Linked DNA regions of Astyanax mexicanus. The protein of the gene in region 1 binds, or shares a complex with, the protein of each later gene. Links are inferred from orthologs where the notes say so. Each region holds a gene or a part of one and is shown on either strand. Other genes may lie near its edges.

What was found. The genes of interacting proteins can lie anywhere in the genome.
Region 2: the proteins of fgfr1a (region 1) and plcg2 are in contact, whole or in part, in a cryo-EM structure (PDB 8JQI), measured with the Homo sapiens proteins. The link is inferred for Astyanax mexicanus from reciprocal best matches to the Homo sapiens genes FGFR1 and PLCG2. Residues at the interface, in NP_075598.2 of Homo sapiens: Lys504, Asn506, His541, Lys542, Lys598, Ser602, Tyr605, Gln606, Arg609, Glu612, Tyr613, Ser616, Lys617, Lys748, Asp755, Arg756, Val758, Ser762, Gln764, Glu765, Tyr766, Leu767, Asp768, Leu769; in NP_001412678.1 of Homo sapiens: Phe528, Arg540, Thr568, Phe569, Pro570, Asn571, Phe577, His585, Cys586, Arg587, Arg589, Ser590, Thr591, Met592, Gly595, Leu601, Thr602, Asn604, Leu622, Arg623, Cys624, Ala625, Glu626, Phe627, Glu738.

What each region holds. Positions count from the first base shown.
Region 1 is NC_064419.1:25,847,405-25,858,269, forward strand, and holds the start of fgfr1a (fibroblast growth factor receptor 1-A), read left to right. Parts: upstream 1-6,874; 5' UTR 6,875-7,638; intron 7,639-10,865. UniProt on the Homo sapiens protein: Tyrosine-protein kinase that acts as a cell-surface receptor for fibroblast growth factors and plays an essential role in the regulation of embryonic development, cell proliferation, differentiation and migration.
Region 2 is NC_064416.1:17,441,291-17,451,197, forward strand, and holds the start of plcg2 (1-phosphatidylinositol 4,5-bisphosphate phosphodiesterase gamma-2), read right to left. Parts: upstream 4,827-9,907; 5' UTR 4,742-4,826; intron 4,722-4,741; exon of another isoform or gene 4,306-4,721; 5' UTR 4,262-4,305; intron 1,441-4,261; 5' UTR 1,349-1,440; intron 1-1,348. Other genes in the region: MTOR-associated protein MEAK7, read right to left, coding at 6,642-6,809, 7,352-7,540, 7,812-7,930, 8,029-8,427. UniProt on the Homo sapiens protein: The production of the second messenger molecules diacylglycerol (DAG) and inositol 1,4,5-trisphosphate (IP3) is mediated by activated phosphatidylinositol-specific phospholipase C enzymes. It is a crucial enzyme in transmembrane signaling.

The DNA of each region.
Region 1 (10,865 bases):
AAACACACACACATGGACGCACTGCAGAGCGCAAACCTGGCTCAATAAACAGAATAAAGAATAAAATAACATTACTGTTCCCTTAAATGAGCTGCTGGCACACCTTCACAGTGTGAACGTGCAGTATCCACTACTGAGAATCACAAAGCACAGCACTATTAAGATACGAACGCGCCAAAGTCAAAGCGCTCTTATAGGGAATGACAACTGGCACATCAAATGGTTTATTTCATGTTACAACCAAAACACACCCATAAATGATTAAGGGAATTAGTATATGCCATTTGCGCCATGGGAGACATATTTTTTGCGCTCTCACAATTCCAAAGACATACTGACACGCCCTAAATCATGCTGCATTATGCACAATTGACCGGTGCACTATAGATTGCTAAATTAGGGCCCTTTGTCTTTGATTTGGTTTGGATGTGTATCCACCAGTTTCATATAGATTGTATAAATGTGCAAGGACCATATGTATTTTATTTTAGTATTCTAGTAACTCTAGTAAACTGTAGTAAAATGTTTAGGCTGTATCAGATAAAGAAATATGTTCAGTGTAAGGACTGGCAGTTCTTGACAGCAGTGTTTCAGTCATTCCCCATTTGTATTTCCACACTTATGGAATTACAGGTATGGAACATTATAGTAGGTACACACAGCATGCAGCAGCCATGTAAGTGAGCAAGCAAAGAGGATCAATACAAACAGCATTAGCTACATGCTACCCAACCTAAAAAAGCCTCAATACCCTTCCAAAAAGCTCTGTGACCAGAGACAGTGTAAAACACAAGTAAGTACTGGCAATGCATTTGACACATGAAGACAACTTAGAGGCCAGAAGGACTACAAGACAAAAGCTAAGCTGGCTAATTTCTTCATAAATGTAAGGAAACTAGCTTTAGTTAAGGTTAGCTAAAGGATTTATTGGTTATCTGTTAAATTTAACAGTATGATATTGGGATCTGTAAGTCCAAACCAGAGTGTGTATTTTTCAGAGCAGTGTTTATTTTTTTGTTGTTTTTTGTTTGTTTGGGGAACAGACTTAGCTTTTGCTAGTAAGTAATTTCCTTTAAGAGATAATCTGTAGTCGTGAATTAGTGACAGGCAGCACACGGCTCGGCAACAGAGCGACAAATCGAGTTGAGATTTCTATTGTACCTTCATACGAATTAATAATCACACTGTGGAGTGGCATTCTACAACAACTGACCCAACTTCTTCTAACAATTCTTCTAACAAATCACATACACAGGGGTTCAATGCTCCAGCCTCTACTCTCTGAAGTGTTGGTTCCTACAGCATTTCTTTCCTGTAATCTGCAGTGTGGTTCTGAACATGGAAAAGAGTTTCATATATAGCTGCTGTTTTTTCTTTTCCTGCTTTTATAATGTGTGTTCACACAAATACAGGGACAATTTAAATAAAAATTATGCATGGAAGAAAGTAGCGGGTGGCTCAATAAGTAGCTTGCTAGATTAGCCAGCATTCTAGCTGGCTTTGCCGATTAACACACCCGCATGCGGCAAAAGGAACTTGATTTTTTGAAAAGTCCACATGAGCTGGTGCAAACAATGAAAACAGTGCAAACATATACCTGCTTGCCATTGTAAAAGTTCTTTAACTCATATGTTCCTTTTATGTTTGACATATAGCAGTTTAACCCATTTTGTCTCTTGTAAAAGTTTAGGGGTAAGTTCAGTGTAAAATGGAAATTCTAACTCACTCCATATCATGCTGCGTTTCAGTGTGAGTTTTGGAGTTTCTCTAAAGTCAGAGATATACTTGCAGTTTGACAGTTTGTGCGTTTGCGTAGATAACTGGTTGCAACGTCAACATAAGTGTTGGCATATTTTTCTATGTGCTACTTGTGTTACTGGAAGCTTCCACTATAAAATCTTGGTTACGCTACACAACTTTTAAAGGTGGAGCAGATTTTAAACAGATTACACTACTATCACACTACACAACTGTTGTTAATCTTTTATAGAATCTGGTCAATATGATGGAATGCAAAATTAGAATATTTTTATAAAGGCTGTAATTACTTTTTAAGGTCTGTTTTCATTGGCTGCTGATAGAGTCTGTTTAGACTTAAGTTCACACTACCTAGTCCCACCCAAAATCAAAATGCTTGAGTTCTTGCGACTGATGTGTGTGCGGATGTGATTTTGAGGCTAAAAATTGAGTCTCGTCTCCTCATACACTACACTTTCACGACTAGCTTTGACTGAACCAGAGTCTGAAGACCAGAGCCAACTAGCACTGACTCACCACAGCTGGAAATCTGGGTTAAAATTGGGATTAAAGTTAAAGATAAAAGTAGTAACTTCAGTTTAAAGCAGACTGGAGATAAGTGACCAGGTTTCCACATCGAATAATAATACTGATTGCTCACAAACTACAAGATTAATCACATTTTTCCTTCTGAAAACTTTAACAATGGATATTTAAACGTGTAAAAAAAGAATCATTGTAAGATAATCACAGTGAGGTTTTGTTGAAATATGTTTGTTTAATTTAATCTTTCCAACATTGAGTGTTAAGTATATTTCATTGACATTGGCTTGTTCTAACTCTTCCAAATAAAATAATTTTTTTTATATATCTTTTTTCAACTCTGAATCTAATAACACACTTATTTAACTATTCAAAACATGTATGGGTCAAACTCAGGCAGCTTTACTTAATTTTTACAAGGTTTCTAATCCGAAAATGGTTACAAACTCATGTGACATTTAAAAAGCATGTTTAAATGCAAGTCCACTTATTCCTTTGATTTTCTCTCAAGAAAGTGTTTATTTTAAAGAAATGGTTTACTTCATGTTCAAATAATTGATATTTATGACAAAAAAAATACTCCTGTTAAAGGAACTCATTCCTGTTACTGGAACTCACTCATGTTATTGCTACATCTCTGAAGGGGTTTTTACATTGTTAAATACAACCCGCGAAAACAACAACAACAAAAATTGTATATGTCCCCAGGCTTTGGAAAAATAATTACATTAAGACATTGGGAACAAAATGAATACAATTATTATTTTGTATTGTAAAATATGTAACAACAATCTTGTGTGTTAGCTTCTTTTTAAAAAGAAATATTTTATTTTTACTGCAAGTCAGTGTAAAATTATACTGAACAACAAGATTCACATTATGTAAAAAGTGAAACAAAAAGAGAACATTTTTGCTTAACAAAAAAGCTAGTTCAAACCCGAATGATCATGCCACCAGTTCTTATATTTTTATTATTAAAAGAATAACAATAAAGAGACTATTATTTTAGCTAAGTAATCAAATTAGTTGCTTGTTAAAGTGCTTGTAATTATCTGCTGTTATCAAGATTGTATGTATTTAATAGCACTCATTGTTTCAGCTAGCAAAGTCTGCTATTTCTGTACAAGTTCACAACAAGTTTAATTGCTCTGAATAAATAAACGTGGCTTTTTATCCCGGAAATCAGAATGCTGCTAACTTGACTTTGGGGAAAAGCCCTGTTAGTCACGGCCCAGTAGTAGTTTAGCAGACTGCACGTCTGGACACACCCAAATCCTCCCCAAGGTATTCCTCTGGAAGATCAAAAGTGAGGAAGAAGTGTTTAGTGTGGAAATATGCCTGTGGTTTCCTCAATTACTGGATAAAATTCCATGTCCATTAAAAATGGAAAAGATTCAAAGTTTAGTATTTTTTAAAAGTTGATACATATATAAAGTAAAAAGTACTTGATTTTAGGATATTCTAATAATTTTAACGTCTTATATATGGAATGATGGGCTTCAGAAAAATGGGGACCAGCTTACATTTCATCCAGCATTTGTAAAGCACAAAAGCAATGCCCTACATCCACCTATAGGCACAAACAGACATTAACTAGTAAGTTAAGAAACCTAAGTGGAACCCGGAAAAAATACACGAGTAGACGGCTGCAGACTACCACTGTTTGCATTGATAGGGTTGATGAAAACATGTTTGAAATGACTTATATCCTTGAAGGAGTTTATAAGCTATGTTACCTCACATATTTGGTTATTCAGTTGTAGTGGTAGTTACAGTAGTCAAATTTACAACTTTAATAACTTTTAATAATAATACTTTGATTAGTATTTACAATTAATGCTGTCCCCATCAAATTTCTAACAATGGGAAAAGACTGTAAATCTCATTACTGTATATACAGCTCTGGAAAAAAATAGACCACTTACAAATGATGAGTCCTTTGATTTTACCAAATTGGAAACCTCTGGAATATCAAGAGGAAGACGGATGATCAGCAGCCATCAAACCAAGGTGAACTTGGCTGCCTGCCAGGAATGGCATTAAGTTATCCAAAAGCAGTATGTAAGACTGGTGGAGAAGAACTGTGATTCTGGAGGGAACTTGTGATTAAAAACCAGGGTTATTACACCAAATATTGATTTCTGAACTCTTAAAACTTTTTGAATATGAACTTGTTTTCTTTTGCATTATTTGAGGTCCGAAAGCTCTGCATTATTCTGCAAATAAATGCTCTAAAAGACAATATTTTTTATTTGGAATTTGGGAGAAATTTCATAGTGTATAAAATAAAACAACAATGTTCATTTTACTCAAACATATACCTTTAAATAGCAAAATTAGAGAAACTGATTCAGAAACTGAAGTGCTCTCTTAATTTTTTTTCAGAACTGTATGTGCCCAATCATGTCTCTGTCTCTGAACCTACTACAAAATCTTCCAGCTCCCCGGTTGTTTGGCACAGAAACATATATGGGGTTCAGAACAAGTTTTGAATTATGTACTCTATAAAAATGCAAATGAACTTTTTCTGCACAGTTTAACAAGATCAGATATTTGAGTAAAGTTAAAATGTTAAAAATGTGTCTCTTTGTATTGTTTTACTAGATTTTTGTTTGTTGAATTGGACATTATAATTACAATTACATTTCAATACATTATTTAAACAAAAGAAAATGTTTTATGTATATACAGAGATGAGATTGGAGATTGGAGATTGGATAGTCCAGGTCCAGGGTTCTATTTGTAACATTAGTCTAGCATTCCCCACTCTAAGCTAAGGTAGCGTGTTACTACATGTATAGCACCTGGAATAAATGATAAATCGTATTAATTAGCTTATAAGCGAAACTATTCCTATATTGATAAGAATAAGAAACGTGTCAGTATTATTCCAACTTAGCTCAGATGTATGTTCATAAATCCAGTCTTTTTTGTGTCCATGTTTAGCTTGGTTAGCATATAGAACCAGTGCTAGGCTATTACTATACAATATACAAGTCAACAAGTCTGGGCAACATTAATGAAAATGTGGACATGGTTTGAGTGGTTTGAGTGGCTTTAGAGACGTGCGTGGACATGATTTTAATAGAAAGATTTGGTAACTACTTACTTGCAGTGTTTGTTAGCCAATCATCATTAGCCTGATTGACTAGCCTACATTTTGCACCAAAGCAGAACATAACACTTCACTTCTTTGTCATGTTAACACTTAATTTGCATTTTTATAGAAGTAACTTTACAGGAGTAAAAACTCATTCATTTTAATAAAAGTCAGCATATAAAATCCAGTTATTTTGGACCATTTTTACAATCGTATCATATTGAAATTTAGTCAAAATGTAACAAATATATTTAACATAAAAATATAAGGTAATGAATAAAATTGAAATATAACTTTACTTCATTCAGGTGCTTGTCTAAAGAGCCAGCCACTAAGCATATTGATTTGTAAAGTACCCCAAAGCAATGACATCACACAAAAAAAACACAACAGAAAATGAATATTTTACATTGTTATATTACTCAGCTAATCATTTCAGAAAGGTAAAGGGTTCATGTGTATTATCTTGAACTTTCGTTATGCTAATCATACACTAGACAACTTTGAAAAGACTCTGAAAAGACTTTTGATAGACCGAAGTCTTAAACCTTCTCACATATAAAGACAAGTCACAGACCTTTTAGTCACAGACTAGTCAGAGACTAAGATTTTGCAAAGATTGGGGATCTTGCAGGGTCACTATTTGCAAGACAGGAAGTAGATTTTTTTTTTTATTATTATTATAATTCAGCAAGTTCTTTCCACGTTTTCTTCTTTCTCCACTGTTGTGGTATAAATAGGAAGACACGTCAGAAAGAGACACTCCACATCACTATTTGCATGAACCAAATCTCGAGACTCAAGACTATAATATTAAACACGGTTGATTTTATCTGAACGTTCAATCATAACCACCTTAAACTGAAGGATCAAGATAAGACACACGCAACTCGACTGTAGCAAGACGTTTTTATCCCGACACTGGAAATTTGTTTGCGACAGTGAAATCGCTTGAAAATCACAGCTTTTGAATTTCAGATAACAAAAATAAGATAATTCTTTTTTCAAGAAATGTATAGGTCTGAATGTTTAAATCTAAAAAGCTTAAGTTTTTTGTGAAGCAAGTTTTTTCAGCAGCAAATTTCACCACCTCAAAGTTCTAAATAAATTAGAATATACAAAGATGCGAGGCGAGTTTGTTGTTTGGTGTCGCTTTTTAAAGGAACCTCAAACTCGAACAGACCCGAACAGCAGGCGATAACTTACACAGACAGCACTGAAGGAGGAGGAGGTTTTTATGTAGGATAAACATAAAAGTACATTTCTAGTCTATACATATAAGACATAAAAATAAACAATTAAGAGCTATTTTAGAAGGGCTAATCAGGTTTATTTATCCTTCTTGGGAAAAGAACTACACTCCCACAATGCAACAGAACCAATGGAGAGTCCTGAGGTGTTGTGAATGGCAGAGGGGGGAGCCAGGTTTCAAACCCAGTGATGTAAGCGAGTGTGTGTTGAGTGTGAGTGTGAGTGTGTGTGTGTGTGTGTGTGTGTGTTTGTGTGAGTGAGTGAGTGCGCGCGCGCGCGCTCCATCGTAGGTAGTGAAGCAGCTCCACGCATGACTCCGGAATCTGGTCTTCTCTGTATCCTCTGGTGTGGGAGGCCGAGAGAGCGCGAGCGAGTGAGGGATGCAGAGGATCACGGTAATATCAGCCCGACCAGACCTACAAACTCAGTCTGCGGGGATCAGGCTCGTTTAGGACGGTCTGTAGTTCGAGTCTAGGCGTTTTAGTCGGAGGATTACTGAGCGGAGAAGCGGTAAAAGTTTTTTTTCCTCCCCCCTTCCACTTTTCCTTCGACCAGACCTCCGTCCTAAACAAAAAGAACCCGGGTGGAAATTTTCTTCGCCAGAAAGGCACCGACTCTGCCGGACATTTACGTAAGATTTGTATCTTACCTTTTATATAAAAAAAAAAAAGTCTTACGTGTTTTTGGATTGACGGTAAGATCGTTTTGGAGTGGTTTGCGGTGATCGTGGAAAAGGAGAGCACTTGCAGCCGAGACGCGAGGCGAGTTTGTGTGTGTTGGTGTCGTTTTTAAAGCGCAGGAACCCCAAACTTAAACAGCAAGCGATAACTTACACAGACAGCGCTGGAGGAGAAAGAGGAGATTTTTGTGTAACGTTAGGATCGACTAAAGAAGAAGAAGAATATCAAAAAGAACTTTCTTTATTAACAGCCCGAAAAAGTTTTTTAAATCTCGGAACGAACTTTTTTCCTCTCCGCGTTGAATACAACCCTCACTGGAGCTAAAAGGTGAGTAACATACCACCTAAGTTCACCTAAGATACATTTTCACTGTTTAAATCTGAGTTTGGCTGTTTTTCTAGCTTGTTTTGTTGATGTTTACAGTACTGAAACATGGCATGCCGTGCAAATAACACATCTGGTTGTAGTTACTCAACTAACCTAAATTAGATTAACTAGATGAACGATTTTTTTTTATTCTCACTTCAGCATTTTAGTAGCTTAACTTAGTTAGCTAATGCTTCAAGTGTTCTATCTATCTATCTATCTATCTATCTATCTATCTATCTATCTATCTATCTATCTATCTATCTATCTGCATTGATATGTTCATAATGTGCATTATCTTCCTAGACTATGCAAAGTTAGAATCTTTTAAATATTCTTTTAGTTCATTTACAAAAACGAACCCTTGGTTGCACCTTTTAAGTTAGACTTACCAGGTTAATAATAGTTTGTATCTCACTTCACCATTTTAATATCTTAAATAGGCTAATGCTGCAAGTGCTGTATTGTGGCTAGGTTAGTGTTTTATGTTAAGCACTGGATAGGACTATAATCTAGCTAGCTAGGTAAACGAATATTTTTAAACATTACCTAAATTAGCAAGCTAGTAGCTAGGCTATCCATTTTCTCAATGAGTAGCATCTGTATTTAATGAGTGAACAGGGAGAAAGGTGGCTTTATTTTATTTTTGTATAACCTGCTTGACCTATGTAACTTAGTTAACATCCAGTGCTGCAGATTCTGTCAACTAACTAACTTAGTTAGCTAAAATGTGAGTAACCTAGTTAGCTTTACCAAAGTCCACCTAAGAGAGTTTTTCACGATTTAAATCTGTGTATGGTTGTTTTTCTATCTTTTTTTTGCTTATGTTTACAGTGTTGAAACATGGCATGATGTGCAAATAACAACAAACCGGGGTGTAACGTTAACTTAGTAGGAACTAGTAGGACTATTAGGGTTAGCTAACTAGCTAATCTCTTTTTAGCTAAATATCACGTTAGTTAGCTAGCTAACTAGTTGCTAGTTTACGCTGTTCTTAATGACTAGCATCTGTGTTCAATACGTGAGCAGAGAGAAAGGTTGCCACAAAACAATACTATTAAAATACTAAGAATAGTGAGAAAATACTAAGCCTAAAACTGTTGAAAAGTCAGCGTGTTGCAGGAACAAATGGCTGAAGGCGTTTGGTTAACTAGTTGAGAGAGTTGACGGCGCGCAGCTGGAGCGCAGCACAGTTCAATAGCTGGATAATTCTGCGAATCGGTTCTTTTTTGCGAGTCGTTCACACGAATCGGCTCAGATTTCCTTTTACTTACACGTTTAGGTTTTTAAACATGACACATTATGCAATCAAATAAAGATTAAAAGTTGTTCATTCATGCATTTGCAGCATAAAACGCTTGATTGCACAGAATCAAGTGACTCAGAGTTACTTTCTGAATCATTCTTGGTGACTCAGACGAGTCACTCGTCAAATGGCGCTGCTAATGACACTACATGCGATGCGACTAAGGGATACTATCGAGTTCGAGTTACTAATATTTAATGGAAAAGAAGCAAAAACGAAGAAACTCAGATGTGAATCAGCAAATTGTTTAATTAGTCACTCAAATTATTCAAACGGAGCGGTTTGGATGAGTCGGATCGGTAAACAGACTCGATAGCTAGGTTAAGATAAACTTCTCATCATTAACGTTAGTTCACTAGCTACCATTTGGCACGTTGTTGAGCTTTAGCTAGGTTAGCTGTGCTGTTTTAAAAGGGTTGAATCTAGTGTTTTGTGTCTGAAAAGGGTTTTAGACATCCAGCGCTGTAGATAGTGTAGAGAATATTAAGGTTGAAGATGTTTAACCGTTTTAAGTGTGCACTTTTAAGTGTGCATTTTGCTGTTTGTTAGGAATGTGCAATAGTATACTAATCAGATTGGTAATGTTAGCATAAAGGTAATCAATGAATAGTCTTAGGCTTAGATTTCACTGACATCTGTTTATATTTTAATTTATTTTAACCTGTTATGCTTGGTTAATTTAATAAATGTCTGCATTGTGACTGTCATGCGTGGTACTGTGTTTAAAACGCTACATAAATAAATGAGTTACAGAGATTATGCATATGTTTTAAAAATGTTTAGCTATAAATGTGTCTAAATCAGGCCAAAGTTTCCATATCTATGTGCTTCCAGAAGTCTTGAGTGTAAGCCTTAAGTGTAGCCTTAGCCTTGTTCCTTCATAAACCTTTAACATCTGCTAACAAAACACACAAATATTGTACAGTCAGACTATACCATATTAAAGATATTTTTCTTTTTGTTTTATTCCATTTGCATAGTTCAGGCGAAAAAAAAACAAATCTGCTGGGCTTCTGAACACTAGGCAAAAGTAATTTGTTTTTATCTGTATGTCTATGTTATTTCTTTTTAATCTGTTATTTAGGCCTTTTGGATTTGAAAATCCAGGCTTGTTCTAGGGTGGTCACTGGATAAACAGCAACATTTTACGGGAACGCAGTTTTGAATACCACAGTTGAATGATAATATGGGAGTGTATACTCTGGGGAGACACTGGGGCTGGTGTGTGTTTAGTGGGAGTGCATGGGTTATTTACTTTTCCTTCTTTCCTTCTTCTCAAGCTAAAGGAAAATCATCTTTTTGCAAACTGTTTGCCTTTTCCACCCAGACAGAAGTCACAGTTTTAGCATTTACATGGCAGAGAAAAAGTGAATAGACTAAGTTAACTCCCTAAACTTTGCTTTAGTCGACTAAACCTTACTTTCTCTATAAGAGCAGCATTGATTTGTTCATAATTTGCATTATCTTCCTAAAATGTGAACTCAGATTTTTGGCAAAAGAATCATCTTTCTTGTGTTTTTACTTCTCTTGAAAGGCAAGTTTCCACCTGAGCTCTTGAACATGCTTAAAAACAATGCTTCTAGCTGCAAAGGGTTCTTGCATTAGAATAACTTTTTTTTTTTGCATGAGGAATCAAAGAGAAAGTATATTTATATATTCTTTTACTTCTTATGGAAACAAATGTGGTTCTACTATGGCATGAAGGACCCTTGGTTGCACCTTTATTTTTAAGAGTGTCCTTATGAATTTCACAGCATTCAGTGAGAATGCATTTCCAAGCATTTCTGTGTGCCTTCTATTAAAGCTTCTCTCCATTCCTGAAACACACTTGCTTGCTCTCATTCACGTATGCCCCCTCCCCCCAGTTCCCAGATCTAATTCC
Region 2 (9,907 bases), on another chromosome or scaffold:
TAATAAGCTAATTAAGGGCTAAGAGATTAAAAGTTATCTGTGTTAAAATCTCTATTGGGATTTCCCAATTCCAAACCTTTGCATTTCTTTAATACTGTACAATGCAAGTACATTAATACTAATGAACATTTTGAAAGGAATGTTTTATCTTTAACTGTATGTATTATGTAGATAGATCTTCTTACAGTGAGAGAAGTGTTTACTGAACTCTATGTACACTTTTGCATGACACTGTAAGAGAAGCAAACAACTAAGAAATTGCTGGTGCTAGAGAAAACAGCTCTCACACACTGTCAGCAGTCAGAATGTGTCAGAGAAAATGTGGTACTGCAGTTTAAGCTTGGTGGATTATAAACATTGCATATGTTAACATTCAAATCCATACAGAAAAGTGTCGTATGGCAATTTATAGATTACAAAGATATGACTTAGACTATATGGACAAAAATATTGCTTATTCATTGTTCTGAAATAGTTTACTCTGCTTTTGTTGGAGTAACTCTGTCTACTGACCAGGCTTTCTATTAAATAGCATAACATTGGATAGAGCACCATCATTCCAGAAACACAGCTCCATTGTACCACAGCTAAATGCACTTGCCTCTTGCCTACACATGACATTAGACATGATGTCAATATATGGGTTCATGTTTAGAGTTCTATTCTTTTTTACAGGGTACGCTGTAGTTGAATACCTTCATTTGACAGGGTGTGTCCACAAACATTGGACATATACTGTACATATACATAATATTATTTAGAATTAAGAATTTCATTATGTGGAACTGATTTTTGTCACATATTAAAATATATTCAACATATATGTGACATACATTTCAGCTATATGTCAAACATTTACGTGTATTAACCTACCAATCAAAAATATCTGATTCAAATATGATATCCAACATATGATACTTGCATACATGTATACAATATATGTAGATGTATCTTGAAAAATAGGCCATATACTTTGAAATATATGTGCACATACCACCACATATGAGATTTTCATATTGGCACCCATCAAGCAAAAAAAAAAAGCAGACGTGCTAACATATGTATGAACATGATCCTGCTGGTCCTGCTGATAATACTTGATACTTAATCCAATGTTTGTTGATAGTCTAAAACACAGAACTGCCCAAACTGTTCTAGTGAAGAATATCAACAGTAAGCATCTGAGTTTCGGTCTTTGATGTGGACTTAATGAAACAGTATACCTTTCTTAACTGTTTTTCTTAATGCTTAACCAGCGGCACGCAAAAACACATGGTCACACTGTTCCTACAGTGGCTAGTATTTGCATTGCAAATGAAACAGTGGAGCAAATCATGGAGGGACTCACCCAGAGAGTTGGAAGATTAGAGTCCTTCTGGTTTAGTAAAGCATTAACCCAGTCAACTCAATGGTGTGTTGGTAGAAAACTTTGCACTCTGCCTGAGAAAAAGAGAGAAAGAGAAGGAGAGAGAGAAGTAAAGAGAGCCAGTATAAGTGTGTGAACCTTTACTGAAACTGTACATATAACAATGCAACCAAATCAATGATATGAGAGAATACAAAAACAGTGTGATAAAAACAAAGTACAGCACAGCAAAAGTTAGCAACAAAAAAAAATAGATTTATGTCTTTAAAGAGAAAATACTCATTTATGTTGATTTATTAAGCAATGGCACATAACATACAATATGTTTGACTTCTTTCCAGGAAGTTTTATTACAAATCTATTGTTAATTGTGCTCTGAAATGATGATAAGCTTTATGTAGGGAACTTCACTTAAAAAATAAGCAGCCAAATATTTAGGTGCAAAAACATTTGCATGAGAAAATGTTTTATATATTAGTTTAACCCCCTTTAAATTGATTACTTTAGCGAACATATGTTGGCCCACTCTTTATTCACTGTTTTTACTCACTGTTATTACTCCATAATATACAATGTGATAGCTACAAAATGGATTTTCTCATTGTAATTGAAGATACATTGAGGATAATGTATGTTTCTGCAACTAAGGACTAAGCATGAAAAAAGAAGAGTTTAAAGAAAAGTGTACTAAAAATGGTAAGTATGGTGTAAAGCAGGGGTTGGGCAATTCCGAACCTGAGGGCCAGATTCCTACACTGTTTGGGCCTTTTTTGTTTAAGTACACCGATTGACTGGTTTTATTGTTTTTTAATGTATTGGCTAGGGCTGTGTATTGGGAAGAACTTGGCGATATAATATACAGGGTTACAATTCAAAGTATCAAAATAATTATTAAATACTGAAAAGGACAATGGAAAACTCATTTTTAACACTCAGTATTAACAAAAATGCCATTATGTTTATAGAACAGAGAAGCATCTCTATCTCAATTCACTCAGTTCAGCTTAACAGGATCCATCATCATTCACAGTAAGCCTCAAAATAACGGTTTCTCAGGAAAGAGTTGGCTGCCACTGCCTAAAAAAACAAGCCAAAAAAACTACTACCCAGAACAAAAAAAAAATCCCCTAACCCATCCTGTTGTTCATTCACTGACCTACCAAACATACATGGGCCGAAATGTATGATTTATTATCATATTTATAAAACTTTAGGCTACATAGGAATATTTCCCAGGCTTAATTCCTTGAGTGCATGTTTATGTTAAGCTGCACAACAGTTTTAGTAAAAATTGACATTTGATGAAAACTTGACCTAAAAATGACCTACTGCTGCGCATATTTTTAATTCTCTTTTTTTTTAACCTTATTTCATTTCAAGATTTATTTAGATTTTACTTTACCGCAGCTAAGTATATAGAAACTAAACAAAGTGAAGTGGAATTTATATAATTAAATCACTGAATTTGGGTCTTAAGTCCTTTGAAAATAAAATAGTGTGAATGTTGTGTAAATATCAGTGATGTCACTGATATGAAAGGTTCCTTTCTTAAAGAGGCCCAGCTTATTGGCAAGATGTGCTTCTCCTCTAAACTCAAAAATAATAACAAATCAATTAGAGCTTTATTTCAGAGAGACAGTGTCTCAGTTCTTAATGTTACATTTTATTGGAACCAATATATATGAGACTTAGAATGGAAAAAGATTTGGATCTTACCTTTTAAATTTCTAGTGATTAATAAAGTAAAGGAAGTTACATTTAAAATACTACATAGGTGATACCCAACAAACCATTATTAAACCAGATTCAAGTTGCTTTTTTTTGTTATGTACACCCAGTAACCCTATTACATGTTTTGACATTGCGAGTTTATTGAAATGTTTTGAAAAAACTTATTGTTATTGATAATATTTGTTATTGATATTTATGTTGATAATGTTAAACATAAGATAGATTAATATTATATCATTAATCTAATTATAATTTTAGCTAAATTTTATTTTCATAAAGGTAAAAAGAGCACCCCGCTGTGTATGCTTTTTAAAATTGAAATTAAAAAGTATATGCAAACTATACTTGGATCAACAAACAGAGCGCCTGCAAAGACTGTAAATATTTGCAAATCCCTAGGGCTATTTTCATAAATGTCCCCCACCCCATTATATATATACGTATATATATATATATATATATATATATATATATATATATATATATATATATATATATATATATATATATATATAAAGAGAACGTTAGAAGAATGTTTAGCAACGTTTTAAAAGAGTTAGCCTAATATGTAATGGTTTGCTTCACAAGGTTATTAGAATGTTTCTCACATAACGTTCCCAGCTAGATTAAATTAACGTAGTAGAAACGTTAAAAGTAACATTCCTAAAACTAACAATTAAAATGTTGACACGTGACTTTGCTAGAACGTTAAAAAAGGTTAAGTAAAGAACATACAAAAAACTAAACGTTCGAAGAACGTTAACTGTAAAATTTACAAAACGTTCAACTAACTTTTTTTTTTTTTAAATAATAGGCTATAATAAAGGATTAATCATCTTAACCAGGGAGCACTGTGGACATGGCAAATAAAAACTCCCTTATATTATTAAAAAAACGGTATAAAATGTACAAAAAAAAACGTTTAAAGTAAAGGTTAACATTCATCTATATTTGTAACAATGTGTTAATTCCAATTACATTGTTACACAGCAACACAGTACACAGTTTTCAATTAAAACATTTTACACATTAAGTTATATTTTTATTATGACCTGCATACTACATACATTTAAAGGCAACAGACTCAGAAATGCTAACTGGCTATCTTTCCCTTTCACACACTTTTTTAGGCTGATGTTGAGCTCTCAAGCAGTTCAAACTTACCCGCCTCAGAGGAAAACAAACGCTCACATCCAAAAGCAGTCCTTCTGCAGCAGAGATATTCACATTTTATACATAAAATCCGAGAAAAAGAGCTAAATGTAGATGATGATAATGATAAGAGACCAGCTACAAAGTTACAAAGTGGTCAGTTCCTCTATTCTCTGAACACAAGGAAGTAAAGCGAAGCTTATAAGAATAGCCTTCATAAAAAGACACGGAAGTGAAGATGCTATCAATGCAAAGTCCTCAAGAAAGCCAGCCAGCTAGGTCTCTGAGGCTACCACACTTTCACCTCCTCACATCACTGTCTCTAACACCCCTCACTAAAGTCTGGAGGAACAGTTCTGAAGCCTCAGGGAGAGTCAGCAGTGTGAAGATGTGAAAATGAAAGCACTTGTTACTGGTCCTCTACTCGCTCTGCTCCAGCCCAAAACTGACCACAACCCCTAGAAAAAGCCTCCTTAAGACCAGCTCCCTTACTTCTGATCCAAAGTTCTCACACAGAACAGGACCCAGCCTCAGCAAACCGCACCGAAAGTGAAGTGACAATGTAAATTTCGAGTCAGTATGGAAACTCACGCTTTACATATCTAACGTCATTTTCCCCATCATTTGCATCCAACTGAACAGAGCGAGACGTGCAAAAGTGGCAAATCCAGGTCCAGAAAGTAAAAATCCGCCGCCAGGACTTTGTTACAACTGCATGGATTGCTCACTAGTGTGCAACCAAGCCTTCCTTTCAAGCAACAAACTCCTGGGGTGGAGTTTTACTTTTTGGAACTAGAAATATTTGCTACCTAGAAGAAAGTAGATGAGAGAATAAGGACAAGAAAGAAGCACGAACAACAAAAAGCAGACAGCATTGTGGTCCCCATGCTGCCCAAATGTGTCTGGAAACTTTGTCAGGTTCAGCACAGACGTGGGAGGTGACATTTCAAAGCATGTAGGCACAAATACAAAACAATGAACATTAACATACTGTAAACTTTTTAAACAATGTGAGCAAAAAAATCAGGCAGGTCAATTTGATAAACTGACTAATTATTTAATTTATTTATATTTTGTAATTTCAGCCATTTTTCACAGAATCAAAAGTAATTAGTGAATCAGACAATTTTCTGTTAGCTTTCTGTTAAACATGGTGGTGGATACATGTGTGGCCGTGGCAATGGACATCAGCTACCTTCAATTAATGTCAGAAATATTGCATTACCAGATTAGGGGACAAACTCGTATTTACCAGTGGGAAAGTCTGGTTTTTGATAAGCCCCAACTTAACATAAAATCAAATGTTGTTTGAAAAGCTAATGCAGTTTAATTTTTGATAGTTTACTCTCATCCAAATATTAGTGCTCTCTGTTGGAATAGATGGGGGGCATTTCTCCAGGGTGTTTGTTTTCTTTCAATCAAAAAGAAAATCCAAAATCGTAAGTATAAGCTTTTAAGGTGGATTTAACGGCAGGATTGGCACTGTATGAAAAGTTCAGATGTAATTCAAGAAATTATCAATATTTAACCCAATCCCATCCAAAATCATTACATTTATTTATTTTTGTGGTCCCTCCAGTTCCACAAGCACATCCTTCTGTTAAACAGTTGAATGAATCTCTGGCTGCCCATGGACTTCCACTTGACTGACTTGTGTCAGTGTTGACTTTTAGCTGATATTCAATGGGTTTGATCACTTCTGTGTGGCGTTGTTCTACTAGCATCTGAACGAAAATGAGCAGAATGCTATGACTCTAAATACTGTTTCTTAAAGAGTTTAACTATAATAGCAGGCACTGTGAAAAATTGTAGTAATTCCTAATGAGGTTATAAAAGTTAATTAATTACAAATCATTAAGGTCGTTATTTTATTGACCAAATATCAATGGGTCTGACTATACATGGCCTTCATCTCAAAGGTGAATTTGTATGCAACAGCAATGCATTATCATTCACAATCCTTTCAGTTCATAATTTTAATCAGTTTCAAAAAGCAGCCAACGCAAAAAGTAAAGCAGTAAAAATAAATTAACAGTTTTATTTTTTTATCAACCAATAAACCACTTCATCACACACAAACTGTAACACTGATTTGCACTGATTTGTATTAGTGTATATTTGAATGTCTTACATACTCGTTATTGATCAGGAACAGGTCAGCATATAACATGTCTTTAGCAGATTCTAGAATTCTTCACATAGCAGGAAACCAGCTCCTCTTTTTATTAATTCAAAATAACTTTTTTCAATCTGCATATATTTGGATATATATATAGCGAAACTTAGCTGCTGTAACCGTCATGAGATCCAATCATTTGATTAAATTATGCAAAATAAATGAGAAAACATCCATCTAAAAGCAGCTCTGCAATAAAAAAGTTTGTTGTCTTTTTTATGTGTTAAATGTATCCCTTAATCCTCTCATTTTTTCAACCTCTACTTCATTTCCTGTGTCTTCCTCTGGCTCTCTGAGGCCTTGGCTGTAGATTTTTTTCCCAGTCATCTCCATGATGGCCTGCAACTCAGGATCCGCATCCAGAATGCTCTTCTTACCCTCATCCTGTAAAGCAACATCCCAACAAACAAAATAATAAATTCTTAATTTTCTGCATTTAGTGTAAAACATCAGTGCCACAAAGTGGATAAATTAACCTCTATATTCATACAAAGTGCTATAGTAGCTAAAACCTCAAATGATAAAATATATTAAAAATACATTTTAAAAAGACATGCTTTTTTTGGAGTAACTGTTTCTACTGTCCAAGGAAAACATTCTACTAGATTTTTTGATTACTAGCACTGCTATGAGGATTTCGTTGTATTTAGCCACAAGAGCAATCAAATTCAATCCACTACTCCACAGCTCAATGCTGGGGGTCTTTACTTGTTTTTTTGCCCCTGAGAGTCCTATTCTATTGCCAATTCTTCAAGCTGTGTATGTGTGTCTGCATTTGCATATCTGTATCCAGAATGGGTGAACTGAGAGAAAAAAAGTATCCACAAACATTTAGTTCATTTGCATCTGAAATTACCAATTAACAGACACTAATGAAGAAATCCAATAATTCTGAATGAGTGTGTCACTACAGATCTGTTGCTGACCTCGTCCTGTTCCTGTTCTGAAGGGGGTATGCCGACCCCCCAAACTTCGACTGTATCCATTGTAAAGTCCTCATCCCCTGAGAGCTGAGGGCTACCGTATGTGGTACAGCTTGGTCGAGCCCGACTGTGACCTTTCCCAAAGTCATAGTCCAGCCACAGTCCGAAGTACCCGTGCTGTCCACCCATACCCTGAGACAAGACAATGAGGAAAGGGTATAGTTCAGAGAAGACCATCTATCATCCTACCATCCATCAACTTCAACAGATCTATCTAGTACTTGAACCTAGTAATAAAAAGTAACAAAAAATGCAAAAGACACAGAAAATTGTATGATTGTATAATTAATAGATAGTTGCAGTACAATGTTCATTATCAGTGTTATCATAATTAATATTGTTGTTACTTAATACAACAAGAATGATTCATTGTTATAGAATCTACAAGGATGTATTGTCTCACCAGGCCATTGGGCATGGTGTGCTGGCCCAGGTTCATGTACATGTAGTGCTGGTTATACCCTGTGCATGTGAAAACTCGCATGGATGGGAACACAGAGAACAGGAAGCACCTGGAATCACCTGGTCAGAAGTGATAAGCATCAGACCTGGCACAATAAAAAGGCGAATATGCAAAAAAAACATGTTTTAATTTCTTCTGTTTCCTCCTCATCACTTACCCTGAAACTGGGGTTTAATCTCCCAGCTGTGAGAAGCAAAGCCTCCGAATATGTGGCCCTTGGTGTCTTTCACCAGAATAACAGTGGGGCCTTGACTTTTGCAGTTTCCAACCAGGCGGGTAAAGCTTTCCCCATGTACGTTTGTTGAGAACAGCAACCTCCAGGGAGCTTTGTGTCCTTCAGGCATCTGAGGGCTCAAGAACATGAGAAGAGGTAGATCTAGCAAACACCGGAGCGCACTCCAGGGAGCATCTCGACACTGCGGCAGCAGAAGAGGCGGTGTACACGAAGTCAACCCAACCTCAAGACCCTCACCAATCAGGAGCTCCAGAAATACAGCGACTCCTGAGACTCGGAAAAGCCAGTCCTCTACACAAGCGACATCACACGTATTCTGATCTATAGGGCAAAAAGAGGGGGTTCAGTCAGAGACTGTAAAATGTGTTTTCAAGTGTTTTGATTCAAACAAACTAGAGTTTTGAATAGGCACATGATCAAAGTATTACTTACAAACTGTGCTTTAACTACTTCCTGCCTAAACCTTCAATTTAGCAGGAATGTTCCAAATCAGACACTATCACACAGTGTATTAATACTAATCACCACTAAAACTGCATTTAAAAGTTCCATTGTCTCAGTAAAGATGTTTTCCTAGCAAAAAGACAAACCCCTTCTAACAGCCTTCTGTCACACATACATCCTACATCACACAAGCTGAAGAGCGCAAAGCAAACCAGGAATAAAATGCATCACAATGCTCATGACAGAATGAACCAAACTACTAAATATAAACACACTAAGAGTGTCTGTCTGCACTTCGTAGCTCCTCTTCTGGCCTTAAAAGCTACCTCACATTGCTTTGTCATATTTTTATGAGAATTTCTTTTTTTTTACATCATAAATGACCTACAAATGTAGTTTCCCATACATTCTATTAATTCTGCTGCCCACACACCTCCTATAGCGGTTGGGTCATTTTTCTCCACACATTTCCCAACACAGTACCACCAGTCATCACCGGTATTTAAATCTGATCATTGTGTTTCCTTGTGACGTTCACATTTCCCAACCCACTCAATCATTTAAGGAGCAGTATGACATCTTACACGTCTTGATGGCATATTGGGTAATGTTTGTGGTGCAAAAAAAAGGAGGGGTCGATTCCTTCAAACATATCCAGAACAGCTGCTTAACATGAGTTTATGACACATGAATAAGTGTATGAGCAATTTGAAGTTTTGAAGTTTTAATGTTGGCACAGTATAATTACTTGTTAGAAAGTTAATTATTAAAAGACTAAATTATAAACTTTATGTAGATGTCAACTAGGAGAACCACTAAACAGACACTTCTCTGGACCTCAGTCCAATATTTGTCAACTGTAATTATTTAGCCGGACATCACATAAAAACAATTTTAGGTTTCTGCTGAATGAAATTAGTGAAACTATAAAAAACAATAATGATATTCATAGCTCAAATAAATCACAACCAGATTAGAGTGAGCTGCTTTTTTGTAAACGCAGAAATAATTTCAGTTTAATAAATAAATATTAATATCTGATTATTTGTCAAAGGGGAGTACATCTGCAAAGAGTTACAACACGTTACAACATTTATTACTTAAATTAAAACACTCTTTAATTTTTGTTTTAGGTCATGTTATGCTTTGTTGGAATGTCTGTTTGTTGTGTCTTTGCTTTTCTTTGAAAAGGTAGATGAAATGACATTTATCCAGTTTAGTTCAAAGATTAAAGGATTCAATGCTTTGAAGGATTCAAGTATATGAATTGATGAAAAAAATGGCAAAATGTAACAAAACCGGCAAAACTGCCTTTGGCCTAACTGTCTTTTGTTCTGTTTTGGTTTTAGATAAAAAT